Schizosaccharomyces pombe: one gene and its partner. The protein of the gene in region 1 interacts with the protein of each later gene in a biochemical or structural test. Each region holds a gene or a part of one and is shown on either strand. Other genes may lie near its edges.

Region 1 (4,964 bases):
ATATGTCATCATTATTATTTCACGCAATATTCAGTTAATCATGAGGAGCTTATGTAACCGTGTAATTTCGAGCATGAAATGAATGAAACTAACAAGATATTAAGGTCCTTACACTGAACACATTGCGTGAAGAATAATGACAATGAATTTAAAGTTAGCAACAACATGTTGACATTGCAATATTACATACGTTTTGTAGCGATTGAACCTGAGCATAATTGGGGCATCAATATATACAAGCAAAAAGAACGGACGTTTGAGCAATGCACTTAACAAACGTGGACTATGAATTCCATTAATTACAAATCTTTCGCGCCATCTTGGAGTGAGATAGCTAATAAGATCGTCAACGCTGCCAAGGACTAAATCGCCAGTTCTATATATATATTCTCCATCCTCGTTTAGTTGTGGTAATCGAAAAATAGCATTGAAACCATGCTTTGTCTCAAGGTATTCAACAACGGCATCTTTTCCACTACATAATGGCCCTGTAAGACCAACAGTTGGCATATTTATTTGCTTAATAAATCAAACAAAGCTACTTAAGCTTAAGAAACGTATTTCAGTTTGATTATCTCCCCAAATAGTTAGAGATAGATCGGTTTTAACGTACTCACATACCTAATGATACTAACTATCAATACCAACAACGAGTTGCGAAAATGCTAACTTTCAATTTCGTAAAACTATGCTTCTATAATCTGTAATCTTTTTAAAAAATAAAATATATATTTAATGAGATTAAAAACTATTTGCTTCCAAATCTTCACGAATCCTTGAATATTTCAGATTTTACGTTTCACTGTACTGGACCAAGAATCTAAAAAATCCTTTTAGTGAATTCGAATAAAGTCGTTTTTGGTTTTAAGTGTATTGACCTCTCTTTTGCTGGTCACGCTAAAGTTTAGAGCACTCAAAAGTTGTACTTAAGTGCTGTGTACTTCAACAGCAACAACAATAAGATCATTAACTGTATATTGTTAAGGAGAAACTCGGAACAAACGCATTCAACTAACAATGAAACCATTTTTATCTAATTAATGTTCATCACATCAAATTTGATAATGAGCGCATTTCATGTAAACTCATGTGAAACGATGGAATCTGTCGAATAATATTTTTTATGTGCGAATATTCAGAATTCTTCTAAAAGTCCAGTAATTACATACTAATCGTTCGTAAAATTATGTTTACGGTTAGATTACTATTGCATCGTAGGCCTAGCATTAATTGTCAAGTCAGCAATTCAACAATGATATTTATATGTGGCACATATTCTTTTTCTCAACATCCTATTTAATGATATTGGAAAATTTTTTTGTTTTCGGGAAATTAAAACACTACAGAACTCAACTGGACTGAGGAAGAGGTTGAGTTATGAGCAGCTTCAGTAGTAAGTTAGAAGGTTAACTTCACGTACCAACTTAATTAATAATCGAGCTCACAGCAACATAAGTGATGATTGTTGGTGATTTAACGTATCATTAAAGCTAATTACAGACTACATAATAAGCATTAAGCCATTAACGTGTACTAGGTAATACTCACGACCGTACTGTAGAGCTCGGTAAGATCGTAATTTTGTCAAGTTTCCTGAGGTTTAATAACCCTTTGGTTGCAAATTATTGTTAATCACGATCTTGTAACTCCTATAATTATTGAAGTCAGTTTGCAAAGAATTTAGAATTTAAATCACCAAATAATTTGGGCATGAGATGAGTTTCAATCCTGCAGCTGGACTGCTGGGAAAATTAAAGAAATTATGGAATGATACAAAAAACGATTATTTGGAATGGGAGCGAAGCCAACAAGGTCAAATTAGTGAGTCAGTGGTTAAGAATCACTCACCCTCAAAGCGAAAGCGACGGCCATCGAAGGAGCCTTCCCTATCACCTAAGCGAAGAAAAAATATTTTAAATGATCAAAAAAAAGATGAAGAGTCAATACCTAATGCTGGTACACAATCACAAAATTTTACTCACTTAAGTGCATCTAAAATTCGTATCTCAGATGAGGATCGAATTAAGCCATTGGTAGATTTAAATCAAGATCACTCTTTTGACATGGCATACTTAACACCTGCAAGCGCTCCCCCTCCGCGATTTCGATTTGTACCTCCAAAATCTGACGCGAAATCTCATTCGGCTCCTAGATCGCTAGAAGGTGTTACTAGCTTATCTGATTCTCATTTCAATTCCCTTGAAGCAAACTTAAAAGCGATTTCGAAAGATAGCAACAATAAAGCGCACAATAATCGTTATGATGAGTCTTCGCTTACGAACCCTGAATTTTCCATCCTTGTTGAGCGTTTAAAAAGTATTGAAGAAAATTTACAAAGCCTGCAGGAAAGGATTTCTCATTGTGAGCGTTCAGTTAGTCTTAGCCCATCTTTTGCTCCACCATCTAACGTTAAAAGTCCAGTCCAACAGCACCGGTCTTTTGTTTCAAGTTCAGCAAGAGCAAAAAAGAATTGGGGGAGACAGTCGAATAGTCCGAATAGTAATAAAAAAACCGATCATGCATACCCAGGAGCTTCAATGAACACTGAAAGGGGTTTAATTCAAAACTTAGAAGATTCAGATGATATCCATGAAGAAAGTTCGGATACCTTGGAAGAACCTCTGTTAATTAACGAACTAAACCGGACTTCCTTTCTCAACTCCAATAATAATTTAAAATTGAATGAAGCTGAAGAAAATCAAAATTTATTGAATCTTCGAAGTCCCAAATCATCTGGAAAGGCTGATAATTTGACTATAAAAAGCTCATCTAATATTGATAAAGTTACTTCAAATGATCTCTATCTTGATAATAATTTGCAAAGTCATTTTAAAGTGACAGAGAGTCAACCGACTAATCTAGGGAGGAAAGAATATTCAAATTCGCCTTTTTCTATCAGAGCTAGAAAAGATGCAGCAACTACTAGTTCCTCATTTGAAAGTTATCACAATACACAAACGATACAATCACCTATGAAATTTACAAAAGCGACGCCTTTGAAAGACAATGAGTCAGCTAGTGTCGATGAAAGTAAAGTAAATGTGTTGTCGGAGAACCAGTCTTTACAGGCCGATACCGCTACGTTGGAACAACTTACACCAATTCCAAAGGCAAGGTGGAACCAACTTGCAAATAAACACCCTTCCCTTTCTAATTCAGCTGCATCACCCCCTGTTTCGTCTCCTGGGCTCAGGCGCTCCCATATCCCAGTTCATGAAGGACTGAAGCATACAAGAGATGGCGTTGCTGAAACGAAGGATGCGCTTGCAAAATTAAGGGAAAAAATGCAGGAGCGACTAAAAAACCATACTTCTTGAGGAGGCACTTTAGTGCTTAACCTAAAACCTATCGCAGGCGATTGTTCTTTAGTTTACGCTTCATCTGACAACTTTTATAATACGGAATTAATGCAACAGTATCTTTAGACTCCTTTTGGTATATTAAATATTTTCAATTAATGTTCTCCTTTCACAACGAAAATTGACACATTTTAGGGCTTGCGTTCCAAGCAAACAAAATACGCTTCCCGTGACTCTTTTAAAGAGGCTTTCGGTTTCATCACTTGGACGAACCTAAAGTGAGATTTCAACAAATTTTGTAAGTCGGCATCTTCATCCCCCATGTAAAATTTACAAATAAACGAGCCATTTGATTTTAAAAAGGTTAATGCAACATGAAGCGCAGATGCACAGAGTTCCTATAGTAGGTCAGAGAAAATTTACAAGAAATGTATTTACCATGGAGAGAGCATGATCCCGGATCCGAATCCCTGTAGCCTTATGAAGCCTAGGATGTTAGATGTAAATATATTTTAGACCCTGTATTTAATTACATATCACTTATAACAGCGTCGACCACCCGACAATCAATGCTATCATTCGTATTAGGCTCATGTAGTAGCCGTAAAGCCTCGAATAGTTTAGTCAGGGTGTTTGGATCACGAATATCACCGTAGATGGGTAATACCCCTTCTGGTGGAGCTATGTGCTGAATATCAATGCCTATTACTTTCCCTTTATTTCCAACTAACTTTTTTGCTACTTGCGACCATGATCCAGGTGCAAATCCCTTAAAAACGTTAGGCTTATGATAATTAGATAATTTAATACCACGTCAATCACCACATCTTCTTTATTAATAAATCTGTATTTGGAATTCAACTATCAATTAGTATTATTATCCAAAATCGTATCGACGTGGTAACAGTACCTCTATTAATTTGTATGCTGCTCTCGACCGGAAATTGTCGATTTTACTTTTTTTTCGATAGAAATCTTTTGAACGCTTAGCTGCCCAAGAAAAAAGAGTTTTGGAGCCAAACATCTCCTAAACCCAAAGTGTTTGTGAATACTAGATCAAATTTTTACCAAAATATGAATTGAAGTATGACAGAATTTATTAAGTTAAAAAAATAGTGGTTTTATTTATTCTTTCATCAAACGTGTCTAAAAAGGACTAATCGCTTTTTTTATTCTAGTAGATGGTTTAATTTCTAAAACGTAAAAATATTACTTTAATAAACCAGATGAAGAAAATAACTCTAATCAAAGTACAGCCGTCTCAATCTATTTCACAGTTGCTTCTTTACGAGCATTGAATGGATTAAGTACTGTATTTTACGCTATATGACGCTACGTTACCTGTCACTATTTGCCATAAAAATACTAGCAAATTCGTTTATTGATAATTGTAAAAGACTATCCGTATTATTCACACAGATACCTAGAGATATCGGGTTAAAAATTTTGCAAGCTATATTAATGATTGGCTATAAACTTCGTAAACTAATATTAATAGGACTGCTATTCATATTGCATACCGCGATTTTATAAATTACCAGTAAACACACCGCAATTTATGATTGTAAAATAGATACCAAACTGCATAGTAAGCAACTTAAGTAATACACAATAAATCTATAAAATTCACTATTTATGATTAAAAATATACATAAATTACCGCTA
Region 2 (4,427 bases), on another chromosome or scaffold:
TTCGCCTGATTCCTCGTGTAGAGTTAGTTTCCTCCAAGGATCAATAAGAAGCTCTTGAACGAAAGATGTATAAGTTTTTCGATGTTTTTCTAGAACTGATTGCCAGTTTGATCTATCGGTAGGAAGGAACTCAAGCATCAACATCCAAGCTTTTGCCCTAAGTGAATATTCATCAGGAATTCCTTGAATACAAAGCGAGCATAAACCAGGGAGAGAAATTGGCTCTTCCGAATTTAAAATGTCTTTAAATTTTTCAATGCGTTGCTTATAGTCCATAATAAACTAGAAGCGATTCAAATAAGATATTATGTAGTTTGACTATATCCAATTTAGTTATATTATCATATATAAAATATTACTGTTGAAAATTAAATATATGAAGAAAAGGAGAGCGCAATTGGTGTGTTCAGTAGCCTGTTTCACACGTGGATGATGGAACTAAGTTAGCTACTAAAATTGAATGCAAGTTTAAGAACCGACTAAATTTTCTGACTTATTTTTTATACTAATTTCCTTCTTAACAATACTTCCCTAATCAAATACTGTAGGAAAGTACAGAGTAATGAACGTCCTTAGTAGATGTACAGTATAGGTAAGATTGATGTAGGTGCAACATACAGACCAGGAAAGAAATATTTGGTTTAAACAGCACCTAGAACGAGCAATTAATAATAATTGGATATTTATTAAATAAATGCACCGTTTTCTAATGTATGTATGTGAGAAATTAGCCTTGAGATTGGCTCCAGTTTTGATTCTATCTATAATACAAATAAAAGAAGAAAGAGTGGATATGCAATTTATATTAGGTTGTATATCGAACTGTTATGATGTATAAATATACGAAAATTGGTAGATAATGTATAACCATAAAAGAAGGCTTAATTAATGGAAATCAAAAGAATTCGGGTTGTATTCATGAAACTGGGGTCATCAATATGAAACTAAATTAATCATGAGAATACAGAAGTGGTTTGGATAAAGGAAACGGCATCAATACATTAGCAATACTCTATCAAAAAAAAAAAAAAAATTATGGAGATTGTTTTTATCAAAAATGAAAGCGCAGATCATGATTTTTGCTCCAAATTCAGTTGATCCATTGCAATTACCAAGTCCTCGCTCATTTGTATCAACTGTTGTCGTTCCTCCCTTTCGACCCGGAGCTCTTCTTGAAGCGCTTGCAGTTGTAAACGAAGTGTTTCCAAATCACCTGTCTGTTGTGATTGTTGTTGCATTAGTAACTTATCACTCTTCGCCATATCAGCTTTAAAATTGTTCAAAAAATCTGACATATCTTGGCGCTCTTGAATGGCTTTCTCCAGCTGTTTTTGGAGAGTCTGATTGTCTGCTTTCAATGCTCGCCTTTCTTCCTCCCAGTTACTGTTGGATATTTTTGGAGCATTAGGAGCAGTACCGATTTGATTTTGAAGCTCCTGTATAGTTGCCTCGTATTTTCGAGCATAATTGGCTTTGAAAGCATTAATTTTCTGAGTGTGCTTGGCTGAGTACTGAGCATGTAAATCTTCAGCAACTTTTTCCATGCGTTCTTGAATTAACTTGTCAACTTCCTCTTGAGTATATTTACCTCTCTGAAGAGCTAATGTCTCTTCATTATGCCCTTCAACAAGTCTCATGTTGGTATCCTTTGTGGAGGGACTAGTCGATGCTTTTCCAGATCTAAGTTGCTGAAGTTGGTCATTAACGGCAATCAATTGTCCCGAAACATTGACGATTGTATTTTGGAGTACGGAAATTTCATGATAAGTGCCAGCAAGTTTGGCTTTGTAGCCCTCTATTTCAGCTTCGTATTTCGCTTGCTGCTTTTGAGTGGAATTAATTGGGTATTGAGTAGGTATATCGGCCTGTGAAGTTGATGGTGTAGCAGAGTTGCGAATGTTGTCTTTCAAATGCACTGGTGGGTTCAACGGCGCCGTATTAGTTTGACGTGGGAAGCTTCCGTTTGAAAGCACTGGGGGCCTAGAACTAGCTGATGTTTGCAAAGATGATGAATGACTGTATGCAAAATTAGATGGAGCGGTATTTAAAGAGCCTCGTTGGGAGGCCGCATTGGACGATGAAAATAAAGAAGGATTCTTCGGCGTCAAAATAGATTCTACATTTCTTTTTCTATGCTTAAATTCTGGCGTTTTATGCTGTGACAAAGGATGGGATATGGGATGCATCGGTCTAGGGGTTCCTGAAAAATCAAAAGATTTATTCAACTCTAAGGCTTGTAGTCGATCGCTTACTCGCTTATTAAGAGTATCCTTTAAATTCAGCTGTGGATTGGGTTTAGAAGTTAACTTAGGGAATAATTTAGGGGCAGGCATGGATTCCTCTGAACTTCGTTGAGCTGGAGGAATCAATGATTCTGAAGAGGCACCTTGCCTTTTTTCATGAAAACCCGTATGATCAGTTTCATTTGTCCCAATACTAGATGAGGAGGGAGACCTCCTACTGTAATCTGTAGAGCTCGAAACGATATCACTCATTTTCGGTTATGACTTTTTAAAATCGTCAAACGATATAAAGAACTAACAGATATATGAAATATAAATACACAAGAAAATCCTTTTTCAAATATTTTACAGCTGGTATTATCGTTTCAAAGTTAACGATCAGTAGCTAACTTTTATTTTTACTTTTTGAAAACTGGTCAGATGTCCGCCTACGTAGAACAATGGTTCAATAACAAACTTGAGTCATACAATGCCCAATAAATAACCCCTTATTGCCCTCAATTCTTCGTCTTGATTCAACACTAGGCGTACAATGGTGGTGTAAATAAAAGGCACATACATACTGGTTTACACTGAGTAAGGAGAGAGTGGGAAGAGTTCACCGAGCTCTCGGTGAATTTTCGGTAGCTTGTTCTCCGAAGCCTTTGTAATAACACCAAAGTATCCTACTGTAAACACTAAACAATTTGCAAGTCAACCTTTGATATTATGTGTGCCAAATTTTAGTATGAAGAAAAATGAAAAGGCAAACGTATGTATATGAAAAGAGGGAAATCGTGATTATCTAATGAATGGCAGATATCGGCCTCATACAATGACCTAATTGCAACAATTTGCAATCCTCGTATCTCTGATGTCGGTACATATCGCATTGAGAGTGTTGTCGGTGAAGGTACGATACTTTTGTGTTATTGTGAACGCTCAATACTGGACGGCTATCTAACAAGCATGGGTTGTAGGCAGCTTTGGAAAAGTTTATTTGGCAGCTCATTTACTGACAAATACAAAGGTATGGGTTATTCAAAGATTACTATGTCTCTAAGTTATAAAAAGAAGAATAAACGGCTCGTAAATTGCGAATATTGACCGTTCCAAAGTCGGTTGATTACATTATGAGAATGATAAACGTTTTATTCATCAATAAATTGATTGTACCTTGCTAACATTTTTATTAAAGGTTGTCCTGAAATCATCTTGCAGGAAACAAGCGATTATCCTTGCTCGAGAAATTCATCATCATCGGCGTCTTCTTCATCCAAACATCACGAGGCTTTATGAAGTAGTATGCACCGAAGACCGAATTTATCTTGCCATGGAGTATTGTCCAAATGGTGAATTGTATGACTGGGTAGCGAGAGAAAAAAGGCTGGATGAAAAGACCACTTGCCGTATCATGTGGCAGCTATGCTGTGCTATTCAGTATTTACATAGACAAGGCTGTGTTCACCGTGACCTTAAACTCGAAAATATTTTTCTAGATAAAGCCTACAATGTTAAGCTTGGAGACTTTGGGTTTTCTAGAGATTCTGATTGTTCCCGTAGAACATTTATGAACACACGTTGTGGTACAGTTGCTTATTGTGCTCCGGAGCTAGTACAGGGCCATAAATATATTGGTGAATGCGTTGATATATGGTCTCTGGGTATAATTATGTACGCTCTCTTAATAGGAAGGCTCCCGTTCGACGAGGACGATGTATCTTTAACTGAGCAAAAAATTATCAATGAATGTCCTCAATATCCTGAAACACTCTCCAAAAACTCTTCAAGCTTGTTGAAATCCCTCCTTTGCAAGGATTACCGACTTCGACCCTCTATCGATCAAATCATCTCTCACCCCTATTTCAAGGAAAATGGATATCATTCATCTTCTATTCGAGACCCAAGGCCTTCCTCGAAAGCAGAGGAAAAAGTTCGTAAAAGGCTTGAATTTGTTGGTGTTGACATGGATCAACTTAATGCCAGCATCTCACAACAGCGCTGTGACATGTTCTATGGATGGTGGCTTTTATTACTAGAAAAAGAAATGCGTAAGGAAAACAAAAAAAAGAAAGGTTTGTTTCATTTACATAAAGGTTCATCTTCGGCTGTACACATAGCTCCAGCAACTCCATCATTAAAAACCGCTCAAGTTTCTGTTATGTCCAACAATCAGGATTCTTTAAAAAGTCGGCATACATCGTC

What was found.
Region 2: the proteins of csi1 (region 1) and alp7 form a complex in vitro, tested with the Schizosaccharomyces pombe proteins (one study listed by BioGRID).

What each region holds. Positions count from the first base shown.
Region 1 is NC_003423.3:3,459,725-3,464,688, forward strand, and holds csi1 (protein Csi1), read left to right. Parts: upstream 1-1,613; 5' UTR 1,614-1,715; coding exon 1,716-3,317; 3' UTR 3,318-3,490; coding exon of another isoform or gene 3,491-3,697; 3' UTR 3,698-3,737; coding exon of another isoform or gene 3,738-3,786; 3' UTR 3,787-3,832; coding exon of another isoform or gene 3,833-4,068; 3' UTR 4,069-4,109; downstream 4,110-4,964. Other genes in the region: dcd1 (deoxycytidylate deaminase), read right to left, coding at 191-510; 2' O-ribose methyltransferase Mrm2, read right to left, coding at 3,491-3,697, 3,738-3,786, 3,833-4,068, 4,110-4,160, 4,210-4,323.
Region 2 is NC_003424.3:5,001,701-5,006,127, forward strand, and holds alp7 (kinetochore-associated protein Alp7), read right to left. Parts: upstream 2,786-4,427; 5' UTR 2,496-2,785; coding exon 1,071-2,495; 3' UTR 700-1,070; downstream 1-699. Other genes in the region: tbc13 (GTPase-activating protein), read right to left, coding at 1-276; serine/threonine protein kinase Ppk16, read left to right, coding at 2,971-2,994, 3,042-3,135, 3,203-3,252, 3,421-4,427. UniProt on the Schizosaccharomyces pombe protein: Required for bipolar spindle formation and proper chromosome segregation. Has an indirect role in connecting the kinetochores and the plus end of pole to chromosome microtubules by targeting alp14 to the spindle pole body.